4 linked regions of the Oreochromis niloticus genome follow. The protein of the gene in region 1 purifies or fractionates together with the protein of each later gene. This does not show direct contact. Links are inferred from orthologs where the notes say so. Each region holds a gene or a part of one and is shown in the gene's direction. Other genes may lie near its edges.

Region 1 (7,454 bases):
CCTCCTCACCATAGTTAGTCATGTAGAAGGAGATGCGACCCTGTAACGGACAGGGCTGGGCGGTTAATCAGACTGTAATCTCAAGTATTATGAAAACAAAGTAAGTGGCGAAAAAATATTTACTTTTTCCATTAATTTTACCTGAAACCTTTGTGTTTTGCTGTTATAAATCAAGTGCACCTCTGTCTTTTACAACTGTTTGGTGTTCTCCCTTCATAAAAACTAAAAATCACTTGCTGTTTAGTTCAGCTCAAGCCAAGATGACTAAAAGATCTGGAGGAAATAAAACTACCTGCTTGTGTCACAGGATCACTGAAGGGCTCTCGCTGGATTTCGTTCAGTAATCAGCAACAGTTGGCCTTTCAGTCAAAAACACTCCCTAGTCCTGTGTCCTCCAGAACTCCTCATTTTTATGTATTCATTTTTAATTTTAAATTATAGTTAATATAAAGGAGTCCTGCAGCAGACTGGCGACCTGTCCAGGGTGTACCCTGCCTCTCGCCCTAAAACAGTGGATAGGCGGAAATGAATGAATGAATGAATGGATAAAGAAAATACCCTTTGAGACACCAATTTTTAAAGTTCAAAAACTGCTGGTGTTGTGTTTTAAATAATCAGGTTGAGCCAGGAGATGCAGGAGGAAACATACCTGTCTTTGAGACTCATAAAGAATGCGGTCCATTGTGTTCAGCAGGGTCATCTTCTGATAAAAGTTCAAAACTGTCTCTTTGGAGAGCTGTGTTGGAGAGAAACACACAATTGACAAATTAACTTTGGCTCAACAGACTGCAGAGGTCTTAGGGGCACATTTGGGAACCAGGAGCACAGGCAGGCTGATTGTACCTGAGGGTCTTGAGAGGGGTTGATGATATTTCCCTGCCTGTCCATCACCCGGTACACTGGGATCCCAGAAATGACATTGGGCTGGATGAACTCGAGCTGATCCACAAACTCGGCTGAGGCTCCTGGAAACTGGGGCTTTTCCAGCGATGAGTCAAAGGGCTGCTGCAGCTGAACAACCTGAAAAGATTGATTACAATCATTATTTATTAAGAATCTCATTGTGGCTGTGGCAAAAAAAAGGCTCTAGGAAAAGAAAACACTGCATATCAGGTCACAAAACTCATACAAACTGTCAAGCACGGTGGTGGAGGGGTGATTTGAGCTTTTTTTGCAGCCACACAGCCGTGAACTCTTCTGTATACCAAAGTATTCTAGAGTCAAATGTGAGGCCATGTGTCTGACAACCACTGGGTCATGCAACTGGATAATACTAAGCAGAGCAGCAAATCTACAGCAGGATAGCTGAAAAAAAGGTGTTCCAACGTCCCAGTGACCTTTAACCTGACTGAGATTCTGTGGTAGGACCTTATGAGAGGTGTGCACAAACAACTTACCTGAATTTATTTTGTTAATAATATTTTTTGTATTTGTGTTGCTTCGTTGTATTTTGCTCTTTTCCCCCCCCACGGGTTTGTCCACCAGCACTTTGAACTGAATTAATAAACTGCATAAAAATGGAATTAAAAATTAAGTTTCATTGATTGATTATTAGTTTTAGTTTTATTTTTTTCAAAAGGCTAGTTTCTAATTTTAGGTAACCTTTTTAACATCTAGTTTAAGCTTTTAGTTTTGTTTTAGTTAACTACAATAACACTCGTTGAATCTTTAGACATTTTAGAAAGCTTAACTTCAGAAAGCTGAAGACAATACAATACTCTTATAAATCATGAATAAGTATGTACTTCTTACAGTGCAGTTCCATTGCTCCACTATAACAACCATTTCCAAATCTCCCTCCCATACAGATTTTAGACACTCCAAATGATTATTGATGGACCTATAAATAAATAAATTAGATTATTTTTAAAGAGTTACATACAGATTTAAGTGCTGGAGCGATCGAAGGAAATAAAATAGCAGCGAAGGCCATAGAGCAGCAACAGTTATTAAATAAAGTTGTTTTGAAAAAATGATGCATTCGAGGACATCGGATTTAAGCTTAATGCAGTTTGGATGCAAACTGCATTTCGTTGCCCTGTACCTGTGACATGTGCAATGACAATAAAGTTGAATTCTATTCTATTCTATTTCCTCCTTCACGCCCCTTGGTTCGACCAATGGAAAAGAAGCTAGCTAAGCCTTTAGCCGGTTGGCTAACTAGTCAAGTGTGAGAGTCAAAACAACAAAAATTAAAATTAGTATTTATTGCAACTAAAGTTGTTTATTAAAGATCAAACATGTATTCACTAAATATGTGAGAGTTAGTTTGACTTTTCACTGATACATTGGAGAATCGGTATAGAATTTCAGCAAGGTTGTTAGCCATGCTAGCAGCTCCGTAGCTAACCAGAATCTTTGCGCAAACAAGACATAACCCCAAAACTTATTAAAAGATAGGGTGACAATATTTCGAATTCCAAAAAAGAGGACACTTGGCCCAATCATGAAGAACTATAATAATACTGTTTGCTTAAAGAAAACTGTGCGGTTAATGAATGGTGAAATAAAAAATGTTTCCCGGCCCCTCAATGGCAGCGTTATCTCCAGTCCAGACTCCGCAGGAGCGACTTTTCCCATAATTTATTCATCGCCCTATCCAAACACTGCATCGGAGTTTTCACTTACAGTGACCCTGAAGCCTCTGCGCTGCAGCAGTCGAGATGCCTTCAGTCCTGCTGTCTGGCGGACAGCGTGGAAACAGAGCCCATACATTTTGCTCATGCTGCTCACAGCCGCCATCGGCACTCAGTAGTTGTTTGATTTAACCGCCGCTGCACACCGGTTTAGAGAAGTTACACTGTGGTGGATATGTAAAAATCTGGCCAACGGAACTGCTAATAACCACCGCTCGCTGTCCTTCCTGTTTACATCCACAGTTTACAGGCCGATAGCCGCAAACTGACTGCACCATTAAAGCCGGCTACAGTATCCTCAACATCCGGCCAGGCCTTCAAAATAAAACCTTAAGTTTAGTTGTCCGTTTTTACATATTTCATAAGTTGAAGAAATGAGCGATTAAAGATGTCGAGATTTAACACTCTTTTGTGTTAGAATAGCAATAATAAATAAATAAATAAATAAATAAATAATGCGTGGGTTTTCCAGAAAGGCAGAGTGCCAGTTTTATGAATTAAAGCTCCCCCTCCCAGTCGGGGAATTAACCTGATGAAAGTCCATTGTGTGATACTGACCTGTTAATTAAAATACTGTCACTATGTTATATGCGTCACGAAGCGCCTTGGTCGTTTTCCGGTGGCCTTTTTGGGGCGATTTTAACTTATCAAAATCAGTATTGCCTATTTTAAGACACATTGCCTGCTCAGACACAGCAACGCAGTCACATTAACAACAAACGACAGTTATTACAATGTGATATATAATACATCTTACAAAAAGAAGTAAAAGTAAAAAAAAAAAAATGAATGAAAAATTGCGCATGTGTCTTTTTGGACATACAGATCAGCTGTAACATGCCTGAAACAGTTTGTAATAAAACAGCGTTCCTCTAACGAACTCTACCTGAGATGTCAGTTATACCTAAGTTAGAGAGTCAGGGGCAGATATGCAATAGGAAAGAAAGAAAAAGAGAGAAGGGAGGATAGAGCCGTAAGCAGTATGGAAAAACTGATGAACACAAGTGTTCTTAAATACAGTCATAAAAGAACGATTTCTACGTCCTTTCAACCCTACCAAAAATTAAACCCTACTCTGCTGCCATCTTGTGGTCACAGTGCAGTAGTGCATTAATAGCAAAAGCAACGTCAGTGGCATGCACAGTAAAGAATATTATTACTTCCAGTCCCGATGATAAACCAAGTAATATCGCAGGTAGAGGCGTTGACATATTAAAATAAAGTATTTCAACTACTTGTCAAAATCTGAAAATGTCTTCGCTTCAGTTCTGAGCTAACTGATGTTGTAAATGCAGACTGCAGATAAATCAATTTTTGCAGCCACGAGTATTTATCGCCATCTAGTGGTGATAGCGCGAGCTGCAACATGGTGATTGCAATTCACATCATGCCAGTGAAAGCTCACCTGTGGAAAGCAGTAAATAAACTGATGTAGATAAAATTCCGGTGGGTGGTTATGACGAATAATGAAAAAAAAAAAAGAGAAGAAAATGATAGGTTGACACCGTTGTGTTTAAATGCAGCTGCTGCCTGCCATCTGGCGGTCATTGTGAGTAACTACACATTGTTAAACTCACAGTTTACACTATTATACGGATGCTGCACTTCCGGTACTTTCAAAATACATTAAACGTATTAAGGCAAAGTAGGGCTTCAGATTGCGTCAGGAAAACGTGAATTATGATGAAAAAATATTATTTTTTTCTTCGTTGTCATAGATATATATTACAGATCCACATTTCTTGTGAATTAACTATTTATTAAAGCTAACATTTCTTTCTCATTCTGATGTCATCAGTAAGGAGCGTAAACTACAGGGAAAACAGATGACGCCATCCGCCTGCGACAAATCTGCTTTCTCCACGATGGAGGTCTGCGGCTCCCTGACTGTTTCTTTGAGAGAGTTTGGTTGTGAACAGAGCTTGCTGTCTCGACCTGATGGCTCTGCTTCCTTCGTCCAAGGTAACACTAATTTTAGAAACTATTTATCTGGGCGTTTATTTGCCTCTTACCGCTAAACTGGACTTAAAAGACGGAGAAAGGTTAGGGAACATCTCTGGAAATTAACCTGCCACTTCAGTTACTGACATGACTTTCTTTACCTTTATGAATAAGAATAAAAGTAAAACATGCTGGGGGGGTATTGTTAATCAGGCATAATATTTACCTTTTCGCAAAACTGGTAATCTTATTTATACATATTTATATCTCGGGGTTTTAACATGCTTCGATGTGATTATGCAAATGTAATATAAGAAATATTGAACTATTTGTCAAAATAATGTAACGATGAGAATCAGGAGCGCATCTATTGTGGTGGTATGGGGTGGCATGGGGTGGCATGTGCCATCTTACCTTTGTATATGACAATGTTGTTTATTAAAATAAGGTAGCATTAACTTTGAGCCTAGCTACAACTAATTAATAAAATAAAATACATTTATTGCATAGTGTTAACCGCCCTCCAGGGGCGGATCTACTGTGCACATTTTGAATCAACACCATGGACATTTCAGATTTCAACACTTCTCTGGAGGCTTCCAAGTCACATGACCAATTTAAGATGACATAGCAACAAGATGCAGTCTCCATTTAATTTTCATTTTTGTTGAAAGTTCAAACTATGTACCAAGAAAAGTTAAAAAACTGCATTTTCTAATAACAGCGCGAAAAAAACCCACCACTTTCCTATTGGTGGAAAAATGTACCATATTGACCAATCAAAAAAAATTATCTGGCAACATGTGACATTTGTGTTTTGGGGAAAAGGGGAGAGCAATTCTACAGTCATTGGATGTGAGAGATTTGTGACATTTAACGTGTTTGGAGTGTGTAGTTAATGTAAAGTTAGTGTGTTGTGTAGTTCTTTGTTTTGTTTTTATGTGTCAAAACAATGAGGACACTAGTGATTGTCACAGTTGCTGCCAAAAGCCATCAAAGGCAGATTGCAGCGTAAACGCTGTCTCCAGGTGAAAAACAGTGATACGCATACTGTTGTTAGACCTGCAGGTTTCAGGTCTGTGATGTGCTCCTCTTTCTTGTGGTGGACAGAAACTTTCTTTTGGAGTGGCACAAATAATTTGTGTGGCATCTTATTGTGACACCTGTTCTGTAATTATAGTTTTAGTAGTTGTACAAAAATGTCTGAGGCATTGGCTGCATTATTAGGTAAATAGTTGCATGTATCTTTATTCTTTGCAAGATTTGTGCAGGCGTTTTTAAAATTTACAATTTATATTTGCAATTCTGAAACATTTTGGCGTTTTATTTGTTTTGTTTTTTGTTTTTTACAGTAAAACCTTTTTCCTGCTCAGATTTTTTTGGGGATGTAAATTCAGACATGTGAGATTGTGCTGAAAAGAATGATACCAAACAAGACAAGGCAAATAGTTTTTAAAGGTGAAATGTAAAGGTAAAATTAGTAAGTAGTCAAAAATGGCCAATAATATCCTGGACATCAGAGGGTTAACCTAATAAATCATGAAAAATTGTGGTGAAAACTTTTTCATGACAGTGCAGACTTCTGGCAATTTGTGTAAATTAAAGCCTGTAACAATTTGATTATTTCTAATTTTAAAAAGAGTGTGAAACTAACCGAACTGAACTTCTAACTGAACCATCTCATGTCTTGTACCTCTATGTATTTTATACTTAATGGCCAAATGCCTATTTATTATATAGGCTATACAGTACATCAAATCAAAATGTACATGTTTTATGTAACTGAAATGTTTAATTATTTGGGCTAAAGAAAATAAGAAAGTTACAGACTATGTTTATATGAAATGTGTATACTTACTGCATTTGATGTATTTTAAACATATATAATGTCTGTCACAGAATGTAACACCTATGTGGACAATAAGACCAAGGTTCAGGGCATGGGCATGGGGATGACTCAGTATCCTTCTGTAATTTGTGTTTATACTTTTACCTTTAATATTCAGATTATTACTCCAGAATGATTCAGAGATGAGCCCAGCACCCTGTGTACCCCGCCTCTCGCCCTATGATAGCTGATAATGATAAGCAGAAATGGATGGATGGGCTGATTCAGTGTCTTTAAAAAATGTCTTAAGAATAAATGTGAAATTTACATGATGAGACTTTGTGACATCAGCTTTAGTTCTCTTATTAAAAGCTTGTTCTAAATAGGGTGTCTGCGTTTGAGTCCCCTCTTTAAAAACTACATGTGCTGTGAGCATATTTACTGGGTGTCGTACTGCTTTCAATGATTTGATGTTACTGCTTTTCCCCTCCTAGATGTCTGTTTATGTGGGGAAAGACATCATTAATGCTCCAGTGTTATTTATTGAAAAATGCTCCTTTTTGTTCTTGTTTGAAGGAGACACGAGTGTGATGGCTGGAGTGTACGGACCAGCTGAGGTCAAAGTCAGCAAGGAGATCTATGACCGGGCGACCCTGGAGGTGTTGGTACAGCCCAAAGTGGGGTTGCCAAGTGAGTTTTTCTTTTTAAGGGGTAAAAAATTTCATTATGCAGCGTTGCTTATTTTATTTTAGGGAAATAGACTTTTTGCATCCTGATATCTACAAGAATGTTTCAGAGGTTTCTGCTGTGGAAAAAGCTGCTATACCACAGCTCACCACAGGGTGGGGTACGTGAGCTTTCTGCTCACATTAAGTTTTTTTATACCTCGATTTGTTTGTTTTGTAGGTGTAAGGGAACGATCACAAGAGCAGTGTGTGCGAGAAACCTGTGAGGCTTCTCTGCTCCTGACGCTCCATCCACGCTCCTCGCTCACTCTCATTCTTCAGGTCCTGCATGATGATGGTTCAGTATCCTTCTGTAAAACTCTG
Region 2 (7,719 bases), on another chromosome or scaffold:
TTTTATTAGCTTTAAGCTGAGCTGTGTTGTCAAGGCAAGGCGAGGAAAAAGTCCTTTTGCTCAAGAGTATTTTTAAATAATCGGTAAATAGCCTGTTTAAAAATAAAGGCAACTACAGACATTCGTCATTAGGGCAGATGGTAATTTAGACAGATTAGTCAGCATTTTATAAAAAGTAACAGGTGAAAAAATGCATTTGGTTTTTTTTCTGACTTTCTAGTTTGTATTATAATAGCTTTACACTCTGCCTGACCCACATTTTGTTTTGGATCACCATCTTACAATGCAGCATAATAATTCACAAAGTGTTAAAATGTAGGCGTGAAAGTGAAAGTGCTACATGCCTGGCTTTGGCAGATGTTGCCTGTAGAGTTTCAGGTGCTCCTGGGCCAAAGCACACAACTTGTCCACATTGTCTTCTGCTGCTGTCATTTGGAGTCTTTCCTCCCAGTTACGAAGCTGTAGTAGAAAATAGACCAAGCAGGAAAGCTTAAACAGATACAGTAGGAGTAGTGATATGAGCTATATTATAACTTATATTTAACACTGGAGAATATGATAAAGGCAAATCATCTACAGCCTCATTTATATCATAATTATGATTCATAATCATATTATAACACAATCAATGTTAAAATAATTTTTTTTATTTTCATTTGATTAAGTGGGTAAACTATCAAGGTCCTAGATTACCCACATTCACCACAAGATAGAACTATGGCCATAAATAATTGTACTGTAGGTTGTTAGGTTTGCTGTGTATCATCAACATCAGTCAGAATATTAACTAACTGGACACTGAAAGAAGTACGCAATAGAGCTTATTACCTCACAGGTGTGTTTGGTCTCTGTCTCCCGACATTTGGCTGATTCAAAGTGCTTCTTATACCAATCTGTCTCAGTTACATCCTAAAAGAAATATTATCCTGATTATACCACAAAAAAAAAGATTTTATAAAGTGCATTTACCAGGTTCCACTGATAAAGCTTTGAACTGGAATGACAAGGTGGCTGTGCTGAATATACAGAACTGGGTTTATCATTCTACCAATGGTAAAATAACAATTACTGAAATGTAAAAATTATAAATGGTTGCTAAAAACTACTATTTTATTGACTCATTCAACATCAAAGTGGACACAACTTTTACTGTGGAAGTCAGACTTGCGTTTACTCACAGTTAAATGGAGCATTGCCTTGTAAATAAAGGATAAAGAGTGACAAAGTCGATATCAGTGATTCTGACAATGGAGGTTCCTGCTTAATCTTTTACACTGACCTTTGCATCTAGGTCCCCTGTAGGTTTATGTAAACAGTCCAGAATGTGTGACCCAAGCTCAGACAGTTTCATTGTAGTATCACACCCTTTGTTTAAAAGGGGAAAAAAGCTCATTAGAGGTGGACCGGGATGGATTCAGCTGTCAGTTTATTTAACAAATCTGTAGAATTGCTCCCCATGCAACGTCTCCCAAGGCAATGTGTCCAAACTAGCAATTAATTGACTCGATGAAAGCATGCTCCTGCACTCTCGATATTTTACCTCCATCTTTATTTCAGTCCATCTGTCCCTGTAGGTGCAAAAGGCTTGATAGGCTGAGATACTGGGCGGGTGTTTCAGGGTCTATTTGTTATGGTCATATCTTTCTAATCGATCTTTTTCTGTGGCTGCTTCTAAACACATGTTTTCTTCTACTTCTCTTCACCACAGTTTGCTGCAAAGTTCTGTTAAGGGGCGTTTATAAAGCATATTAAGGTTGAAATGTTGTATATAAATAAAACTGCCACTTGCAATTTAAGGACATTTTCCTTCACTGCTATGAGAATGACAGATGATCAGTTATATAAGTCTTTTAAGCCCCAAGGTGTTTCTAAGCTAGAGATTTTGCAGAGGTGCTGAGGCTCTATGAAAAGTTGGATGGCTGACAATTATCTCTAACTTAATGAAGAGAAAACAGAACTTCTTAATGTGCCCCTGACAGATTTGTACCCAAGATAATAAATAAGCTAAAAACTCATCTTTTTGAAACTTGCTTTTGGTAACTTTTTGTTTTAATGTTTTAGCATTTTTGTTGTGATGTACTTTGTGATATTTATCTTGGAAGATGCTATATAAATACAATTTTACTTTATTTGTACTTTTAACTAAATTAAACAATTTAAGAGAAGCCTTGATTATTTAGAAATACACATCTGAGTAAGCAAGCCAGATCTTCTGAAGGCCTGATATAAAATCCAGTCTTTGTCTCGTGACAGTTAGTGGCACAAGGTTTTAGTTAAGTAATAATACCCCCTGTCATTAGGGCAACATGATAGTTGTCTACAGTACTACATCATGTTACATGATAGTATAGCTTGTGTAATCACTTCTGCTAAGAGGTAAGATACCTGTTAACAATGTAGTTGTATGCATTTTCTATAGGTGTGAAAATAATGCAGTAACTCAAAGAATCCATATTAGAGCAGTGGCTTCATTTGTTATTCATTGATGTGACATTCATTGTATTAGAAGTTCAGGAATCTACGAGCTCTCTTTAAGAACAACAGAACCTCCTCCTATCTGAATATCCAGAATAAGAACATCCACTCTTCCCAGTAGCTTTAAACTAATATGTTTGAAATGCTTCACCTCTGTAAAAAAAGAAACACTTGACCAAGGCAGCTGACATCTTCTTGTCAAGGTCCAGTTCAACAACCTTCCAGCCGTCTCCGAGAGGACAATCACTAAGTGGGTCAACTTTTGATCTTCGGGCAAGCAACTCAATATAAGGCCTTGAGAAGATGCTCTTTGGTTCACTACAATTTAGCAAAAGAACAAATGTGTGAAAGGTAAATTGCTGTATATTGTAGTATTTTTTATATAGAGGAAATACATCATTCATTTGCGAATTAATATTCAGCATGAACCAAAGGATAAGTAATGGATGTGACTATTGGCGAATATGTTTTGCAATATGTGTTAACTGTTTCAAGACTTACCTGTGATTGATAGACAAAGGCCTGTAGAAAGCACTTAGGGATACTGGGCATTCATACTCCAGCTGCTGCTTCACATCAGTGAAAGTCACAGGCACAGGAAGCAGCTCTCGAGTCACCAACACCTTGTACACCTGAAAAGGTGAGAAGATCATTAGGTATAAAATGCTAGCTACTCCCTTACTGACAAAAGGTTACCACAGATAGATGTATGGGTACAAAGCAGATGGATCCACTCATGTGCAGGAGTTATTAGGGCTCCAACAGAGACCTTTAAAAAGACTCAAATTCCTAATAAGTTTCATTATGCAGAAGCAAAAGCAACACTAAAAGCATATGAAGTTTAAAAATTTAGAAAACTATATGTTATCAGGTGGATAATGATGAGTTTCAAAGCATTTCAAAGAATGCATATATAAAGTTTTTCCACCATCCATGTCTTATTATACCTGTGAAACACTGCCATCTGGTGAACAGACTGAAATCTCCACCACTGTGTCTCCAAAATTCAGAGGGACTGGTTCCGAGCTGTTCACCCCATTTACTGTAACTTTAATGCCTCTGTCAGGCACCTCAGGAAGGAGTGTCACTGAATTACAACAAAAGGGAACAGTACCTGGAGGGAAAACCCCCCCACAGAAGCACATAAAAATTTATTTTGTAAACTGAGAAATACTGCAAACCTTTTATGTCTCTGCATTTTAAATAATATTCACTTACAAAGTAGCATATTTATACATACATTTACACACATGTGTACTGCTGCTGCTGCTTTTGTGTATCAATTGAAATAGAAAACAAAACAAAGAATTATACATTTCATATACAACTTCTTGTTTAACACAGATAGGCTGTACTCACTATTGTATTCAAAAACTTTGGTGCAAAATGCGGGGTGAAGTGAAATATCTCCTTCCAAAGCCAGGTTACTGAGCTCTGCGATCTTTGCTGACAGTTTGGTGATTTCCACACTGTATTTCTTTATGGTACCATCCTCAGCTACCACCTCGATTCCTACTCTGTTCAACCCATCTTTCAGTGTAATCGTGTTAGACCTTTCACCGAAGAGCTGAAATAGAAATCACAAGGCTAAATTAGATGCGAAAGAGACTTGAATTGAGAAATAGAAGCCATAAAGCTTGCTCACAATACTATATGAAGCCCCACAGTCGCTTGTCATCACGTCCAGTGTTACTTCGTTGACGCTGCTCTCCACAGTCACTTTGTAGTCTGTGACTTCAGGTGTGAACGATGGACGGAGCGTCCCAGCAGAAACACAGAGCTTCTCTAAATCACAGTTGTCCATGATGACTCAGGCGTCTTCTTTATAGCTTGCTTGGGTTTAGCTACAACAGTCCCAAAACACAGCACTTCCCATCCTAGCGCGCTCAGTTTTATTTACCACACTGACGCCCCACGTTACCACAGTAACATGACCACTTCTGTTGTATTTAGATATTAAGTTACTACTACATATGAGTATTTTAAATAGATTTGGGCGTTTAATAGGAATGAAAACAACAGCTGGCACTTAAAGAAGTTTTTCGTTTAGACCCTTGCTTAAAAAAATGTGTCAAAAGTCAATAATAAGGAATATAGCGTCGATTTAGAGAATACACACGGTTATAGAAAAGCGGATATTGTTAATAAACAAAATATAGAAAACTGCAAATAAAATGTTTATCACGCTAAAAAAAAAAAATAAATTAAAAAAAAAAATTAGCTAACGATAACTAGCTGTTCCACTCATCCCACCGGCAGACGGCGGTAGAGGAGCGAAGAGGAAAGCGAAGACGACTAGGTCACAGTTTTAACGTCATTTCCTGTCGGCTAAAGCGTGTTGTTTGCTAACAGGGTAAGTATGTGATTTTTTTTCTTGTTTTGTTAGATTTAATTTACAGTGATCCTGGTTTGCTATTAAATCAGTAAATGGTAACTTACATCTATCCTTTTTGTCACTTTCCTCAGCTTATCTAAAGGTTATTTTGGTTTCCTGTTAGCATTTTATGCTAGCTCTCTCCCTGGACATACTGCTGTTGCTTTTCTGTTCTTCTAATGAAAAATAGTGCTACAGGAAAGTTACACGACGGTGTAATTATTCAATTATTTTACAGAAATATGGCCGCAGAAAGCGCCGCTGAGGACTACCCTCACGAGATAGATGAACAGCTCACGTGCTTCGACTCGTCAGTGACTTCAGTTAAAACCATTTTGGAGCAGTTGATGTCGATGCCCAGAAATGACCTGCTGCAAAAGGTAGGCCTAATACTATTATACACATCGGGTACTGTGGTCTTTTTGTTGGCTTAGATTTGTGCTTGTGCGTACCTACTATCTATATACCCTCGTGCACTCACCGGCCACTTTGTTAGGTACACCTGGTCACCTACTCGGTAACAGATTATTTAATGTGCCAATAGCTCAATCAATTTAGGAATGTGAACTTGGTCAAGAAAAACAACTGAGATGGGGATGGAACGTGGTCTTAGTATTTCAGAAAATTGCAGATCTTCTGGGATTTTCCGTCACAATCATTTCTAGGGTTTACATACAATGGTCTAAAAAAGAGAAAATATCCAGTGAGTGTCTGTTCTCTGGGTCAAAATGTCATGTTGATGCCAGACGTTGGAGGAGAATGGCCAGACTGCACAGGCTCATAAGAAGGCAACAGTAAGGGTATGCAGAAGAGCATCTGTGAACACACAACACATTGAACATGGTAGCTAATGGGTGACAGCAACACAAGACCACGCTTGGTGCCACGTTTATCTGCTATCAACTGTTCAGGCAGCTGGTGGTGGTCTAATGGTATAGGGAATTTTTTTTGCCATATATTTTTGGCCCCATACTACTAATTGTGTTTAAGTGCCGGCCTACCTAAGTATTGTTGTTGACCATGTCTATTCCTTTATGACCTCAGTGTATCCATCGTCTGATAGCTGCTTCCAGCAGTGTAACACGCCATGTCATCAGATCATCTCAAACTGGTTTCTTGACATGACTATTAGTTCACTGTACTCAGATGAGCTCCATAGTCACCAGATCTCAATGAAACAGAGCATCTTTGGGATGTGGTGGAACAGGAGATTCACATCATGGATGTACAACTGACATAGCTGTACCAGCTGTGTGATGCTATCATATCAATATGGACCAGAACTCTGAGGAATGTTTCCACCTCCCTGTTAAATCTATGCTATGAAGAATTACGGCACTTCTGAGGGCAAAGGATGTCAAAACCCAATGCTAGAAAGATGTACCTAATAAAGTGGCTAGTGTGTTTATTTTCTTTTATAGAGCAAAATTTTATTCAGTGAAACAATACTGTACGTTGAATATATATTACAAATACATTTAATGAAAAAAGTGATACTAATCTGTCATATGCAGGAGGTTATAAAAAAAATTAAATTTGGTTTATTAACAGTTGGATCCTCTGGATCAAGCCAAGCTGGATCTGATGTCTGCCTACACCCTTAATTCATTATTCTGGAGTGAGTTTTTTCCCTATTTGGTCTAATCGTTATATCTTGATGAATAAAAATGAAATGAATATAGTGAAAGCATACCAAAGAGACAAATACATTACAACTTTTCCGTACATGGATGTCATTTTGTGTGTAAAATGTGGATATGTGGCTTTATTTTTATCTTACCCAGTGTACTTGGTAACACAAGGGATAAATCCCAGAGAGCATGGAATCAAACAAGAATTGGTATGTGCCATCTATCTCTGACTTATTATTTGCTCACATGGATTCATATGTATTGTCTAATTCCTCAGTAACCATTCTGTTGTTTCAGGAGCGAATAAGAACATATATGAACAGAGTGAAAGAGATCACAGACAAGAAAAAAGCTGCCCGTCTGGATAAGGGAGCTGCTGCACGCTTCGTCAGGAGTGCTCTTTATGATCCTGATGATAAGGATTCTAAAAAAAAAGCAGCAGGCACATCTTCAGAAGCTCCTCCATCAAAGCGTTCAAAGCAGAAATGATATAAAGAAGAATCTGCAGAGTATGTCAAAGTGCAAAAGAGCACAACCTTTAAGGGTGATGAACACTGAGGTAAAACATTTTGGTCATAAGCCACATTTGAAGGCTACGGTTGTCTGATCAACAATTACACAAGACAGCTAAACAGAACAATTCATCATCAGGATCATAGCTTGGAGTCGTGTAAATTTTCATGGTTGCCCTGCAGCAGTCTGCAAATGTGTTTGACAAGCAAAAGACTGTATTTGCCACGTTTGACACTTCATCTCAGGGCAGTCTCAGATACTTTTGGATCTTGATGCCAAAAGCTGGTCTAGGTTTGATACATGTTGTAATGTTCTTGTAATGTTACACTGGTATAAATCTTTGTATTTTGAAAGTGATTCTATGAATCAAAAGGTTTTTTGGGTTTTTTATTTTAATTTTTTTTGTTTTAAACAAATGCAATGTTTTGAACATCATCAAGAAAAAGGTTTTGTGAGTATAATGCCTTTAGCATAAAAATATTCACCAAAAATACAGTGTTTGAATTATTTTCTTTTATACAGTTTATGGGCAGCATGGTGCTGAAATGTTTAATAGTGTCGCATTATAGGAAGATTGTTACAGGATGCAAACCTTCTGCTCAGCTGTCCGTTTCCTCTGGTCGATCTGAGAGTGCATGGTGGTTGTATAAATTGACCGTATGATACACTGCTGATCTATCTAAGGCAATGGTCAGCAATTAATTTTCCTAAAGGGCCACATGAGAA
Region 3 (7,184 bases), on another chromosome or scaffold:
TGTAGCCACATATTTACTAATTGTTAACTGGGAATAAATGTGTATTTTAAAAAATATATCACATGCCAAAAACCAGTGGGAATTTTTATTTTTTTAATTGATTGTTAGATATTTCATATTTTGGGTTGTTTTTTTACATAAACCACTATTTCCTTCAGGATTTATGGATTTGAGTGTGATTATCTTTTAACTTCTCAACCTGCTACTTTAAATACCTTTAAATACCTTTTATATATTATCTCTGTGTACTTTAGTTGTTTGGACTGCTTGCCCACCTGACTGCAAAGGGTGTATGTTTTGCATTTTCCCCGAGGGTGAGTTCCTGTGAAAATGCACTCCCACCATGTCTGGGGCCCTTGGAAAATTATGTAAAGTGTTCCCCCGGTACCTACTGCCAACCTTTAAAGGGACCTCACCCCCCTCCCCACGCACATGCACAGAGGCTTTGTCTTCTACAATTACAGCAGGCTAATCTGTTTGCAAATGTACATGTTGTTGTCACCAGAATTTGCAACCCTCTGCTTTCACTTGACTCCACAGACACCACCGTGTTCCATTTCTCCGCTATCATGCGGATCCTGTGAAATGTTTGGTAATTCATTTGGAGGTGATGTGACAAACGCAAACATCTTTATTTTTATTTTAATCAAAAATGATATAATTTACAGGTTTAAAAACAAACAAAGCAATTATCCTCTGATCCCATCATTCTTCCAACAATCTGTCCATCCATCTGTTTAATCCTTTTAATCAGCGCAGAATCCATTCTCTCAGAAATCCCACTCATCTGCCACTGATTAATTGATCAGACTTTCTGTAAACTCTGCGGCAACAGAGATTTGTCCGGCAAGTGCTCAAAAGCCATTGAAAGGAAACAAGTGTTCAGATCCTGTGTGAAGGTGTGAAATGATCACACCTTCTTGTTGCAACACTAACGCATGTTTGATTCATCTCTATATGTGATTGCATCAAGGTGGCAGAGAGCAAATAAAACACACACACACACACACACACACACACACACACACACACACACACACACACACACACACACACACACACACACACACACACAAACAACGTATTTGGCATAGCACTGTGTCAAAGACTGGTTGGTTGAAGTTGTGGCGTTTTTTCTTTTTTTAAACAAGTCTCTGTTTTGTTGTGAATCTCAAAAGGTTATGTTGACCAAGGACAATGCAAGAGAAACACTGCAGAGACCAACTTCTCTAGTTTCAATTGACTTCTTTTTCTTTTTTTGGCATACATGTCTTCTCCCTTATGCAATATGTTCCATTTCCATCTTGCATCAGGTGCTGTTTGAAGCGTTTAGTTTGTACAATGTCCTAGAAACATTTTGATGTAAAGGAAGAGTTCCCTCTGTCACCTGTGTGACCCTGTAAACTGAGCAATGAACAACAACTGCATATGTATGCATGTGCAGTTGTTTATTTTGACATGTAGATGTGCACCTAAAACTTCAAAACGCAGGAAGTGGAATTTTTTCTTTTTGTAAGGGGAAACCTCCACCCACTCAGGGTCACACATGCATGCGCAGGCAAAGGCACACACACACACACACACAAGGGCAAACTTTTACGTACAACAAATGATCATCTTCTACACTGACGTCCCCCTCCCAATATGAATCCCCCCCCCCCCCCCACGTTGTTCTTACCAACCTCTGTCAATCTGATCTTCGTCAAACTGCCAGTTGCAATATGAGCCATCACTCGTGAAAAAAGTCTTTACAATTACCTAAGCAGGAGCTGTTCTTTATTCTGATCTATTTTTAGCAAGGGGGAGACACGCCAGACCTCATATTTCATTTCACCTTGCAGATGCATGCTGTAAATTTCACCTGCATCGCTGCTATCAGATTATTGTCTGACATTTTCATCATCCTTCCTTTCATTGAGGCAATAAGATGCATCAAAAAAAACAAAACATGCATACATCTGCAAGCATATCTGACACCAAAAAAGGGGCATGTTGCAGACCAGTTCGCAGATAAACAAGCACACGAAATGTTTCTAAAAAAAAAGGGCACACAAATACACTTCTCGCTTCTCCCCCTTTGTGGTAGACAGGCTATAGATTTCTTGTGGTACAAAGATAGCAGGAAAATATGATGTCACTGAGTGTTTGTTCGAGGTGTAGTGTGGGCTCAGATGGGTTGGCCCCTAACCATAGGCGATAACCTTTGACAAAATAGTCATTCACACCCCAAAATCAAAGGTGGGATTCAAATTTGTATGCGCATGGTAGTTCATGTTAGCAGGCTTGAGTTCTTTCAGTTCACTTTTTTTTTTCTTTTTCTTGAGAGAGTGCATGGTGCATTATAACTTTTAAATTAAGTTTTGGTTTGCTTGTTTGTTTGCTTGAATCATTATGGTGTTTCCTTCGTATGATTTAAAACTAGAAAATCTGAACACCTGAGCTGGGTCAAAGAACCCTGTAAAAAAAGAATGACGTGACTTCATCGGTGCAGAGGAAGGCCAGATTCAGCTGTCAGCCCAACAGGCCTGCACGGGATTCACTGAGGATTCTGACAAGTGGAACCAATGTGGTGTTTGGGAACACCGCGGGGAACGAGAGGAAATCTGTGCAGTAAGTCATCGAAACTACAGGGACAGTCATCAGCCTTCTCCACATGTGTACACTGTAAACACAGAGCTGCGGGAGGACAAGTTCCAGCACCATCCGGTGCACAACCTATTCGGGGGGAAGCTTTGAAAATATTGGCACTGGACCCAATAAAATGGCACAATTGTGGAATTAAATAAACCAAGGTTTGAGATTTTTATATATTGGTCTTTTAAGTGTTGCCTCGGAAATTGAAGAGCAAATGATTGAACTCTTTCCTCTCACAAAGATGACATTCGACAACTTCCCCCTGTAGCCTTAATGATGAGTTTTGACACCTCAATGAATCATTAAAGATGTGACTGGACAACAATTAGAATTGTTCCGTTTTTGGGGTTTTTTTTTTTCAAACGTAGCCCTAGTAAGCCGTAAAAGCAGAGATCACATTCACTACTTTGTGATGCACACCCAGACATTATACTCTGAAAACAGGTTAGAAATATGACATAAACTACCCATTTCAGAAAAGAGAAACAAGGGTTACCCCCTCGTAAACATCCAGGTGGGAAACATTTAAAATGAAAAAGACTAAAAAACTGCAAATCAGAACATTATTTAACAACATTTGGTCAGTCCTCTTTCACAGTCAAAGGTCCACAGATCTTAAAGGCCGTGCAACTAGAAATAAAAAATTTGCTTTTGCTGTTACAGGAAAACTATGCCAGGTCAGTTATTACTGATATGAGTCACAAAGGCACCCCACCCCCCCGTTTCTTTTTTTTCTGATTTTCCTCACCTATTTGCTTCTCTGTTTTTGTGACAGTGTCCTACCAAAATGGAAAACTTCACTCTGCTTCAGTGCAGCAAATATTTACAAGTATTGTTCCTCTTAAACGAAAAATATATATAATTCAAGCGCAACCTGAGAAACCACAGGTCAGTGAGCATCACCACATGTGAGGCCCAGCTCTGCAACATTTTTTCTTCTTTCTTTTTTTCAGCCATTGCTATATGTGCCTGATGCCTGGTGGCAAAAAGACTATAGGGCTTAAAGGAAATGCTACACCCCCCACCCTCCTCGCACCATGGACGCTTAACACCTGAGAAAATCTAACACTTTACAGACTGTATTTCATACCACCTCACACCTCTCTTATTTTCCTGTGATACTCTTATCTCTGTCAGACAGAGTCCTCTCCCAGTCATTCACTTTGTTTTAAAGAGTAATTTTATTATAACGTTTCCATTTTACACAGATGGGTTGTTTTCTCTTTCTTTGCGACATAATTTATTTTCTTTCTCTGTTGTGGTTTGTTATTTCTTATTATTTACTGTTAAACTCGTCGTGTAGTGCAATGTTTCTTTTTTATATGGGGTGCAACTTTTATTACTATTTTAGGCTTGCAGAACTTTACTCTGACGGATGCACAGAGTTGAAGCTGTAAATAAATCCAGTGTAATCTAGGTCTGACAGCGCAAACGTTTTGAAACCCATTGAGATCTTATGCCAGGCTGAAGAACTACAAACGGAAGTTTCGTCAGCGAAGAAAAAAACTTTTTATTATTATTTTTTTTTTAAACTTTAATTATGCAAAAGCTCGGTGTCGATGAAATGACGTAAATACAACTAATACATTTATTTTCTTTTTTTGTTTGTTTTTTTGTGTTGTGGTTACATTTATGTATTTGCGTGACTGTCGAATCTATTGTGACCTGCCTGCTGAGGTAGGCTAGCTTCACACAGCAGCAACTGCAGGAGCTTCGCTGGGCAGTGAACACATGTCCGTGAACCGAATTACATAACAGTGGCGCCGAGAGAGGAGGCATAATCAACATGTCTCGTCATAGAAATGTTCGAGGTTACAACTACGATGAAGGTAGATGGCAAAAAGGGTTCCGATTTAAATGCCGCGGCAAGGCCTCAAAGAGCTAAACCAGTTAGCTGTTTACAGCTAAGCTAAAGTTTACAGTTATTCAGTAGCTGTAGCGGCTAATGCTAGGTCGTTTAACTGGCAAGATCACACTGATGTCGTGTCACTTGGCACCTAGCGCAAGATAAATTGTCCCATAACGACAGTAATTACTTATACCCACGCAAACCCAGGATTTTAGGTTAATGTTATAATGACAAATTTTGATGTGAGGTGTGTGTAGCTACTCAATTTACTAATGTTTACTCAGGTTATTGCCAGCTACTTGCCTAGCCTAGCTTGCTAACTATCCAATGTTTTGTTTGTGTCAGTTACACCAGATTCCTTACTTGCTCTTCTTTACATTCACATCTCCCCATGTTGTTAACTTGCGAAATATCTCTGTAAATAAAGCTTAGAGTTTAGCGATTAGAGGAAAATCTCCAGGTTTCCAGTGTGCAGTGGCATTCATAAAGTTGCTGACAAAGCAAAGTCACAGCTGGCATAAAGGGGCTTTACTGCAACTGTGTATACGACTGTTTGTGTGAGGCACAACTAAATGAGCAAAGGTATCCATCTAAGTGTTGTTTTTCTTCTTCTTCTTCTTTTTTCAGACTTTGAAGATGATGACATGTATGGACAGTCTGTGGAGGATGACTACTGTTGCATTTCACCAGCAACAGGTTGGTTAGCATTGATGCATAGTGAAGATGGAGCAAACTAATTTGAATCTGTCTGAAGTTAAGCATACACTGTATTTTCAAATAAATAACTTTTTTTCATTACACTCATTGATAACAATAGTTGCTTGCATTTCCAGTTTAAGTTTGAAAGTATGCAACATTAAGTAGACATCATGTATGATAACGTATAATCTACTATTAAAATTAAATGGTTTTGGCTTATCTAGCAAATCAGTTCATCTACTCGCGTCAAGAAAGACATGCACCAAGGGAAGAGCCTTTAGAGGAGGAAGAATTTGAAGATGAGGCTGTCCCTGTGTCCCCTACTGTCAACCACAACCTCAGCCCTCTTGATCAAGGTAGTATTTTTAAGCACACAACTGTGGCTCAGAATATAAAAATTTCTCAACTTGTTTTTTGTGTTTTCACAATTAAAGGTTCCATGCACCAATTCCTTTTGTCCTTTAAACTTTTGTTTGAAATTGTGCATTTTTTTTTTTTTTACTCTTTGCTTTTTGTATGGATCACAAATCTATTGTGTGTGTCCAATGTTTGCTGTACTCTTTAGCCAAGCTGTATTCCTGTCTGGACCACATGCGGACTGTGCTGGGAGATGCAGTGCCGGACTCAGTCCTGACCCAGGCAGCCATAAAATGTGGATTTGACCCACAGAGGGCACTGGACGCAGTACTGTCTGAAGACACTAAAACCGCTCCAGTTACCAGAAGTACAGCTGAAGAGATTGGTACAGTAGAGCGAGCTAACCAGGACAAAGCGCCACAACCACAAAGAACCAAACAAGAGGCTGTGGCTGACAAAGGTACACCTTGAGTGGGTCAAAATAAAAATGTTTCAGTGATTGAAAACTGTTACCCCTGAGTGATTCAGTGTAGTAACACACCGGGAGGACGTTAATTTGTGGCATTTAAAGGGTTGTATAACAGATTTGGGTTTTCTGTGGAGTTTCATAGCTATGAAAAATTTTTCTGTATAGGTGGGTGTTCCAAGATAAGTATTTCCCATTTCCTCCTCAAACGCAGTCAACATAAGTCACTGCTGCTAGTACTTCTATATAAATATGTGTCATTATTGGGTGTATGGAAGCCTAACAGCCAGTAGTGTTCTTGGTTGATTTCGCACAAATTTGTATAGTGATACAAATGTTTAACAAAGTGCCTTCTTTCTGTCTTTTTTTTTCTCTCTTTTGCTACATGATTGATTTGACTTCTGCTCCCCCTCACCCCTACTCTTCGACAACTGCACTTGGCTTTTGTAAGGTAAGGAGCCTGCTTGTCTGCTTCTCACACAGACACGACATCCAAGGCACATGAAGCCAACACACATGGGCACAAACATGAACATCCACATGTACCTGAACTAAAAGCACCCAGCTTATGTGAACTCTTATCTCAACCAAATGCTGGCAGCTGTGAAAAGCAGGATTTTAGCCTTAAAAACATTAGCCCAGGTGTTAGCAGTGGTGGTAGTCTGGCACAGCTCATCTCTGAGCATGAGCAAAAGAATAAGGGGTCAGTAGTAGCTGACACAAGGCAGGGTTCGGACGTTTCCTCATCCAACAAAGGACTAAATGCAACAACATCAGCATCCATTATGTCTAATCAGAGTAGTATTTCACTGGGAGCTTTGGCATCTTTAAAGACGTTATCAGCATCACCAGCCTCTCCTCCCTCCATCCTTTCAGTTTCACTCAGTAGTCTATCGCTAAACAACCCCAAGACAGCAGCTGCAGGCTCTTCTATGGCTGCTCCTCCTGGATTTGGGAGTCTCAGCTCTGTTGTGCAGAAAAATCAGCAGTCTGTTGAGGTTGGAGGCAAAGCCATGCTGGGTGGTTCAAAGGGCAGCCCAACATTGGCCGATTTAATCCAGGAGCACTCAAATCGAAGCCCAGCTTTCAGTAACTCGCTCCTTACTCCTCAAAGCAGCATACCTTCTGTGATGTTTCAGGGAATGGCTGCACCAGCACAAACACTATCCCTGTGCGAAC
Region 4 (6,992 bases), on another chromosome or scaffold:
AAGCCTGCTCCCGAGCAGGTTTACGCTTACGGATCTGTTGCTATGGCAGCAAGTCCCGGATGAGCTTCGGAGAACCGAATGATCCAAGATCACGCGAAATCGTCAACAATCAAATCCAGCTAACTTACTTAGCGAGGTACGAAGAACGGACACCTGATTTACAAACTGCCTAGTGTTTTCCTGCAGAACAACAACATCCCAGTGCTCCCAGAAAACGCCTTCAGTGGAAACCCATCAGATCAGTTTTCACCTGTCATACTAAAATCTTTCAGGCTGGCAGTGAAGCTTTCACTTGTTTTAATTTTTCATCCTGACAGAAACATCCTGTTTACACCGTGGATCACTCGTCTATCCATCTGCTCTCTGACCCCCTGAATTCGTACATTATCCTTGTGTCACATCAGCATCACTGCTCTGAACTCGTGAACAAGCTCATCATGAAACTGTGCTGCTTGTCCTGCCAGATCTCTGAGGGGAAGCATTTTCTCACACTTCACCAAGAGCAGAAAGGAAACACCGTGAGTGTTTTTTAACACCCACTGACCACTGAAGCTCCAAAAATCTGAAAGTTTGCCAAACTTTCTCAGAGCTTTGTCAGAACAAAGAAGGAAGAGCATAGTCTCTCTGGAAGGTTCGAAACAATCTGAAAACCTGCAGCTGCAAGGTCCACATCCAGACCAGCACACTGACAGGTGTCACAGAGCAGTTACAGGTGTGACTTATGTCTGTTTCAGGAAACTGTGGGGTCATCGAGCAGCTGTGAGAACCACTCTGAGTCACCATCCACCGGTCGCTGCTTCAACTTCTGCTTAAAATGGAAGACTGAATTTTTAACTCACATAATTTTAATAAATAATCAATAATAAATGACTAATAGAAACCGAGGCCACCTGTGTGATTTAAAGTAATATGACTCTGATGATCTTCCTGACTTGTGTCCACCTGCAGCTCCACACAGAACTTCCCACGAAGACTTCATGCTCCACTCCACTGTGTCCTTCATCTTCTTGATCTCCGTCCTCCTCAACCTGCTGCTCCTGATCACCTTCCTGCTCCTCTGCTCAGTTCCTACACCTTCCTCCTGCTCCTCACTGTGTCTCATCGCCACCCTCTTCTGGCTTCACCTCCGCATTCACCACATGAATAAATATAAGCTCTCCTTTCAAAACAAGCTGCTGACACTTTATTATATAAGCCAGTGGTAGACATGGCCTTCTTGCTGTGGCCACTTTCACAGAAACACACAGAGAGACTGATTCTGATTGAGGGAACAGATAAATAACCATCAGTGATGTCACACAGGGGGCTGAGCAGACAGGAAGCACCGCAGCCTGCTCCCAGTTAAAACAAGAAATGAAACAAAAACAAGAAACAAAATTATAAACTATAAACAAAATAAACATTACATTAAATAAGAACAAATGAAAACAAAAAACATAAACAAATAAAAAACAATAAACTAAAAAATAAAAACAATTAACAAAACAAAATCAATGAAATAAATTAAAATTAAAACAAAACAAAACAAAACAAAACTATCAACAAAATAAAAACAATAAATAAAGTAAGAACAACACGCGGAGGCCCCGCCTCCCGGGAGGAAGAGAAAAACCCACAGCTCTCCTTGGCTGTGTCCCAATTCAGGGTCTGCACGCTTGAAGTACGCATTTCAAGTGCGAGTACGTCACCGCCACGCGACGACGGCTGTCCCAATTCAAAGTGCACTTCAAATGCATACTCCAAATGCGCCGTCGATTTCCCCAAATATCAAGCGTGGTCCGGTGCACGCTTCGTGGTCCCATATATCCCACAATCCATAGCGCGGCGGTGGGTGTGGATAATTTTGCCGCAAAATACGGCAGAAGGGAGCAGCCGAAGAGTGAACTGTCAAAAGTAAGTACTGAATATTATGTCACTTATTTATGTGGGAATGTTTAAGAACATTAAAACATTACTGTTGGCCACATGTCGGCAAAGTTATGTGACATTAGTGATGTTTGTACTTTCAGCGGTAACTTGGTTTTAAAGCCTCTACTTCTAAATATATATATAGTCGACCTTAATCTTACAGAGAATGTGATGATTTTATGGATAATTAAAGTCAGTCATATATCCACAAACACAACAAGCTGAAAGTCAGTGATGCTGCTCGGTTTACAGTCCTGAATATGACGGCACAAGCAGGATTCACTGCACTGTTAATGTTAGCTATGTTATATTGCTGCCTCTGTTCGGTGGTGTCGAGCCAAACGGACTTTAACGTGTGTTTGAACGAGCTGACGGTTCACTCGTTAAGCTGAAAGAAAGATGCTTTAATCACAGGAGTCACACATGTGTCCACTGGACCATCTGGGAACTCTTCTTGTTTAGCACTCGTAATAACACAAACACTAAATCCTCCTTCTCTTGTGCTGTTTTGTTGCAGTGTATACACCTGAGACTGTCACCTGTCTGTCTGTCCTGCACTCTCTCTCTGTTTCTTTCTCTCTGATTGTGGAATAAAAGTATGAACATGTATTTATAAGTTACACTTGTGTTTGAATCCTGCAGCTTATCACACATTTGATTTCCATGTGTGACGACTGCAAGTGTCCAGAGTGAGGACAGACTGAGGGACCCACTGCTGCACATCATCTGTGAGGCTTTGCACCCCTGATGATCCACCAGGACAAACTCAGCAGTGTGTGAGGAAGAGGAGGAGGAAGAGCCAGCAGCAGCTGACAGATGGAGAGAATAGACAGACTGTTCCTGTTTGTGAAGGACTGCTAGGAAAGTTTAGAATAACTAATTGTCTGTCCTGAATCAGTCTTATTAGGTAATGTTCAAATAATGTGATCATCCCAGTGTTTTCAGTGTGGGAGAAAGTACTCAGGGCCTTCAAGTTAAACACTATGAAAGGCAGCAACAAGTTTAATGTTCAGAAACCTAAAGTATGTATCAGCAGCAGAATGGAGCTAAAAATAAATGCTTGTTTCAGTTCTATGAAGCTTTGAGTATTTTGGATCAGTAGTACTGCTCTGTTTGTTGCATCATATTGCTGTAATTGTTTATATGCTTTATATATTCTGAGGTAAGCTGATCTATAGTGTTACATCATATTCTATAAGGATGTTATGTGTTTGTATAGTTTCTGCCCAGTTTGACCCATTTAGCAGAAGTCAGCCTGTTTAAGGCTCTGATATCTATTCTGTATGACTTAAAGCAGTTATGACATGGTCTGATTTTCTCACCCAATAAAGGAATATTTCATATATCAGTCTGATCTTCATTCTATCAGAAACAGTTATCACAGCTCGTACATTTTCTTTTTACACATATATATAAGCATTGAGCCAAATTTAGTAATGCCAACATATTGAAAGAACAATGTTTGTCTCTTATATATAATACATCTGTATATACACTGTCAGAGATACTTGTCTTTGAGTGAAGATTTAAGGTGATAGGAAATATAATTAACTGCTACTTGCATCTTTGACCCAGAGTTCAAGCTCATATATATATATATATATATATATATATATATATAAAATCTGACAATACATATAATATTGTCCATATTATATTAACATTACCACAGTGAGATGACTTTAGTCTCATGAATAACATTAGCTAATTATTATTTACTAACTAATCTTAAAATGACTGTTCAGTACAGAAATGAAGCCCAACTATCATGTTTTACAGTCCTGTGGTCTCAACTAATCAAAGTGATGTCATGACAAAAATGAATGAACAACAAAACATTTTTTCTCCTTCATTTCTGTCACACAAAGCTGTATGAAACATTTCTCGCGGTTAGTATCATGGTTGCTAGGCAACCTGAACAGCGCAACGAAGGCTAGACCGTCCCATTTCACAAGCCTCTCACTTCCGCACTTCCCGTACTTGTAGTACGCACCGTACGTAGTACGCGTAGTGTGCGTACTTCAAGCGTGCATACCCTGAATTGGGACACAGCCCTTGTCACTACCCGGATACGTACGGTACGGATCGGGTAGCGACACTCCTTTTATGTGCTTTTTCCGGTCCCGCGAAGTCTCGCGTTTTATCGCGGTGATTGTTGGTAGCAGCGGCGCTAGCAGAACGCTAACAGAGAGCTAACGGTCAGAGCGGAGAGAACCTCCGCGAAGCTGCTTCAGAGCCACGGAATGAGCTCCGGGACCCGCCGCTGAGTTCGGCCCCAGTAGGGAGCTGCAGACGGTCACCCCAACATGGACGTAGACGTTCCGAACAGATCCGCCGCGGAGGACGGGGAGCTAGAAGACGGAGAAATTTGCGATGATGATACCGAGGAGAGAGCGCCTCCGCGGCGGGGGGATGGGAGCAGGCCCCGCGGCGGTGCTCCTCCTCGGCCACGAAAGCCGCACAAGCACCCGCACGGCGCGCCGCCGCACTTGGGCCACCCGCCGCCGGACTTCCGCCACCTCATGCCCTACAGCCTCGGCCCTCACGGCCCATTCCCGGCCGGCCACCGGCAACAGTGCGGGCCGAGCGGGCCCGACCGGCCTCCCTCCCCGCCACCGTCGCCGCAGCAGCCTCCCGGGCTCGGCTCTCACGGGGAGCCCGGGCCGCGGTCCAGCTTCTGGGAGCGGAGCCACGGCACGCTGGGACGCTTCCGGCACCGCGGCATGCCGAACGGAGGGCCCGGGGGCTGGAGCCGCGGCGGCCGGGGGGGCAACAGCCGGCCACCTCCCGGACGGTACCTGCCCGGAGAGAGCCACAGCTCCCCCGCGAGGAAGCGTATCCTTTCTGCTGTGTCACGTGCCCCCTGCCCCCGGGACGGTGATTGAATTAGGCAGCCCGCGAGGAGCCGGTCAGGGTTTCATTGATTACATATTGGTTTAATGATCAGCCCATTGATCCGCGAGTGTATTGGGCTTCGACTGGTTCACGTTCACGTTTCACACTCCACCAGGTGCGCGCGTGCGTGACAGCAGGAAACGAAACCTGCGCGGTGATGACGTATGTGTGATTGCAACTTCCCCTCAGCCGCAGCTGTCCTCATTCATCCGCTACACGGTTACATCAGTGATCGATTATTTCCTCGTTCATGTATTGCTTGATCGATCATATTGAAATGATCCTAAAGACAGCTGTGAAAAGCCCAAATCAATAGATGGATCAATAGATCAATACTTTATTGATCCCACAAGCGGAAGTTTAGTGTTACAGACGAAAGGTGGTGGAGTTTATAACAAACAGCTCAGAGCCACAGGTCAGCCTTCAACTGGGACAGAGGCAGGAACTACACACACACTGTGTTAAAAAATCATGTGTTTGGAAGGCAATAATCAAATGTGCAGGTGATGATCTGAGATCATGAGTTCCATAATTGAAAAAGCTTTTGATTAGTTTTCAGAGGGCTGCGTGTTTTCTGCCATTGATCTGCGATCAATAATCCGATGATAGGAGAAGCACCTTTGCTTCTTTTACATGGACATTTTTTTGTGAGGTTTTCTTAATTTGTTCATTTCTTAATTTTACACTTTCTTAAAAAGTGAAACTTTTCATTGGTTGCAAAGATTTGTAATTATTTTTGAAAATTTTACTTTTTTTAATAATATTGATATATTTTCGATTATCCAATTAACCTATCCGCGCCTCTCGCCCTATGACAGCTGGAATAGGCTCCAGCGCCCCCCGCGACCCTGAAAAGGATAAGCGGAAGCGAATGGATGGATGGATTGATATATTTTTTAAAATCATGACTTTAAAAATGAAATGAGTATTGATCAGTGTTGACCAGTAATTCTTGATCAGCGTTCTTTAACGCAGACCTCAGAGAAACCTCTCGGGAGGAACCGGCTCAGGAAGGCGGCTCACGGCGCTCCCAGGCCAGAGAGCAGTGGTGACGAGTCCTTTGAGGATCTGCTGTCCAAATACAAACAGATCCAGATTGAACTCGAGTGCATCCGCAAAGAGGAGACGATGGCCCTGGAGCCACGGACGTCACCAGTCAGGGACGACGTGGTGGAGTGCGTAGCCGCCGCTCTAACGGACGCCAAAGCTGAACCGGGCCCGGCTCTGAGTCCGGCAGCAGCCGCGGAGGAGGCGTCGGAGCTGGAGAGGAAGAAAGTGTTCCAGGCCTTCAACATCAAACCGCTTCGTCAGAAACTCCCCACGCCAGCCGACCTGGACGAGCTGCAGAAGAAGTGGGCGGAGCCTGGTGGTAAGTTCGTAATCCGAATGTTTGGTTTCACATCGCAGCTGTAGACATGCCCCTTTTTACCTGTTTGGTGACTTAAACCACATTGAAGACCAATCCTAAATCACTTAGTGTTTGCTGTGTAAAGCTCGGTGTGTTTTTACAGCTTCCTGTTCTTTGTGTCGACAGGTGAAGGGGATCAGCCAATCACAGATAACGGAGCAGAATTGGAAGGAAAAGGTGCCAAAGAAGCAGAAGAGGGGACGCGCGAGAGCGGCGGTGAGCAGACCGCAAGCATAAACCGAACCGATGCAGCAGACTCTCCGATTGGTCCTCTGAAAGGACGTTTCCCTGTAGGGTGGACCGGGGTTGGTTGTCACATTGCTTGTTACTGCAACAATAGGGGGCGCTGTGGGATTCTGCTGATATCACACATGTGACCTGCTGATCTGTCCGCTTCGCTGCAGTCGGTGTGTGGAAAGTGTTCTGTTACTTTAATGGGGCAGAGAGATTTTTCAGGTATTACAAGCTCACACGGCGCTAGTTCAAGTTAGTGATGAAGCTCAGATGGTGCTCCAGAGGTCAGCTGGGGATGGCTGTGTCTCGGCTCAGAGTGTGACAAATGCTTCTGCAGTCTGGGTACGGCCTCAGTGTCTGAACCCTGACGGTCCAGGTGTGTGTCAGGACCGTGAGAGGCCCAGGGCAGTCTTAACGAGCTGGACGATGGTGCACACGCTAACGCAGAGCCGCTGTGATACTGACACAGTTCACTTTGTTGGCACACGATCACCGAGCTGCTTGCCAAGGCTCAGCTCAGCTGTTTGTCCTTTAAAGGGTCACTAAA

Evidence for each region.
Region 2: the proteins of exosc5 (region 1) and c1d purify together in Homo sapiens (affinity purification with mass spectrometry; 4 studies listed by BioGRID and IntAct, counting the BioPlex papers as one, with this or other methods). This does not show direct contact. The link is inferred for Oreochromis niloticus from reciprocal best matches to the Homo sapiens genes EXOSC5 and C1D.
Region 3: the proteins of exosc5 (region 1) and hbs1l purify together in Homo sapiens (affinity purification with mass spectrometry; 3 studies listed by BioGRID and IntAct, with this or other methods). This does not show direct contact. The link is inferred for Oreochromis niloticus from reciprocal best matches to the Homo sapiens genes EXOSC5 and HBS1L.
Region 4: the proteins of exosc5 (region 1) and zfc3h1 purify together in Homo sapiens (affinity purification with mass spectrometry; 3 studies listed by BioGRID and IntAct, with this or other methods). This does not show direct contact. The link is inferred for Oreochromis niloticus from reciprocal best matches to the Homo sapiens genes EXOSC5 and ZFC3H1.

The regions. Positions count from the first base shown.
Region 1 is NC_031979.2:33,448,767-33,456,220, forward strand, and holds the start of exosc5 (exosome complex component RRP46), read left to right. Parts: upstream 1-4,444; 5' UTR 4,445-4,462; coding exon 4,463-4,598; intron 4,599-6,981; coding exon 6,982-7,095; intron 7,096-7,311; coding exon 7,312-7,433; intron 7,434-7,454. Other genes in the region: bckdha (2-oxoisovalerate dehydrogenase subunit alpha, mitochondrial), read right to left, coding at 1-40, 650-736, 844-1,020, 2,629-2,742. UniProt on the Homo sapiens protein: Non-catalytic component of the RNA exosome complex which has 3'->5' exoribonuclease activity and participates in a multitude of cellular RNA processing and degradation events.
Region 2 is NC_031978.2:9,067,326-9,075,044, reverse strand, and holds c1d (nuclear nucleic acid-binding protein C1D), read left to right. Parts: upstream 1-4,710; 5' UTR 4,711-4,828; intron 4,829-4,882; exon of another isoform or gene 4,883-4,905; intron 4,906-5,087; 5' UTR 5,088-5,091; coding exon 5,092-5,229; intron 5,230-6,400; coding exon 6,401-6,467; intron 6,468-6,633; coding exon 6,634-6,689; intron 6,690-6,777; coding exon 6,778-6,969; 3' UTR 6,970-7,484; downstream 7,485-7,719. Other genes in the region: uncharacterized protein LOC102078762, read right to left, coding at 345-459, 829-909, 1,280-1,365, 2,627-2,793, 2,977-3,107, 3,423-3,589, 3,835-4,042, 4,121-4,279. UniProt on the Homo sapiens protein: Plays a role in the recruitment of the RNA exosome complex to pre-rRNA to mediate the 3'-5' end processing of the 5.8S rRNA; this function may include MPHOSPH6.
Region 3 is NC_031980.2:8,000,924-8,008,107, forward strand, and holds the start of hbs1l (HBS1-like protein), read left to right. Parts: upstream 1-4,181; 5' UTR 4,182-4,420; coding exon 4,421-4,463; intron 4,464-5,110; coding exon 5,111-5,179; intron 5,180-5,406; coding exon 5,407-5,538; intron 5,539-5,747; coding exon 5,748-5,999; intron 6,000-6,461; coding exon of another isoform or gene 6,462-7,184. UniProt on the Homo sapiens protein: GTPase component of the Pelota-HBS1L complex, a complex that recognizes stalled ribosomes and triggers the No-Go Decay (NGD) pathway.
Region 4 is NC_031972.2:2,020,158-2,027,149, reverse strand, and holds the start of zfc3h1 (zinc finger C3H1 domain-containing protein), read left to right. Parts: upstream 1-3,989; 5' UTR 3,990-4,214; coding exon 4,215-4,743; intron 4,744-5,785; coding exon 5,786-6,172; intron 6,173-6,337; coding exon 6,338-6,427; intron 6,428-6,992. UniProt on the Homo sapiens protein: Subunit of the trimeric poly(A) tail exosome targeting (PAXT) complex, a complex that directs a subset of long and polyadenylated poly(A) RNAs for exosomal degradation. The RNA exosome is fundamental for the degradation of RNA in eukaryotic nuclei.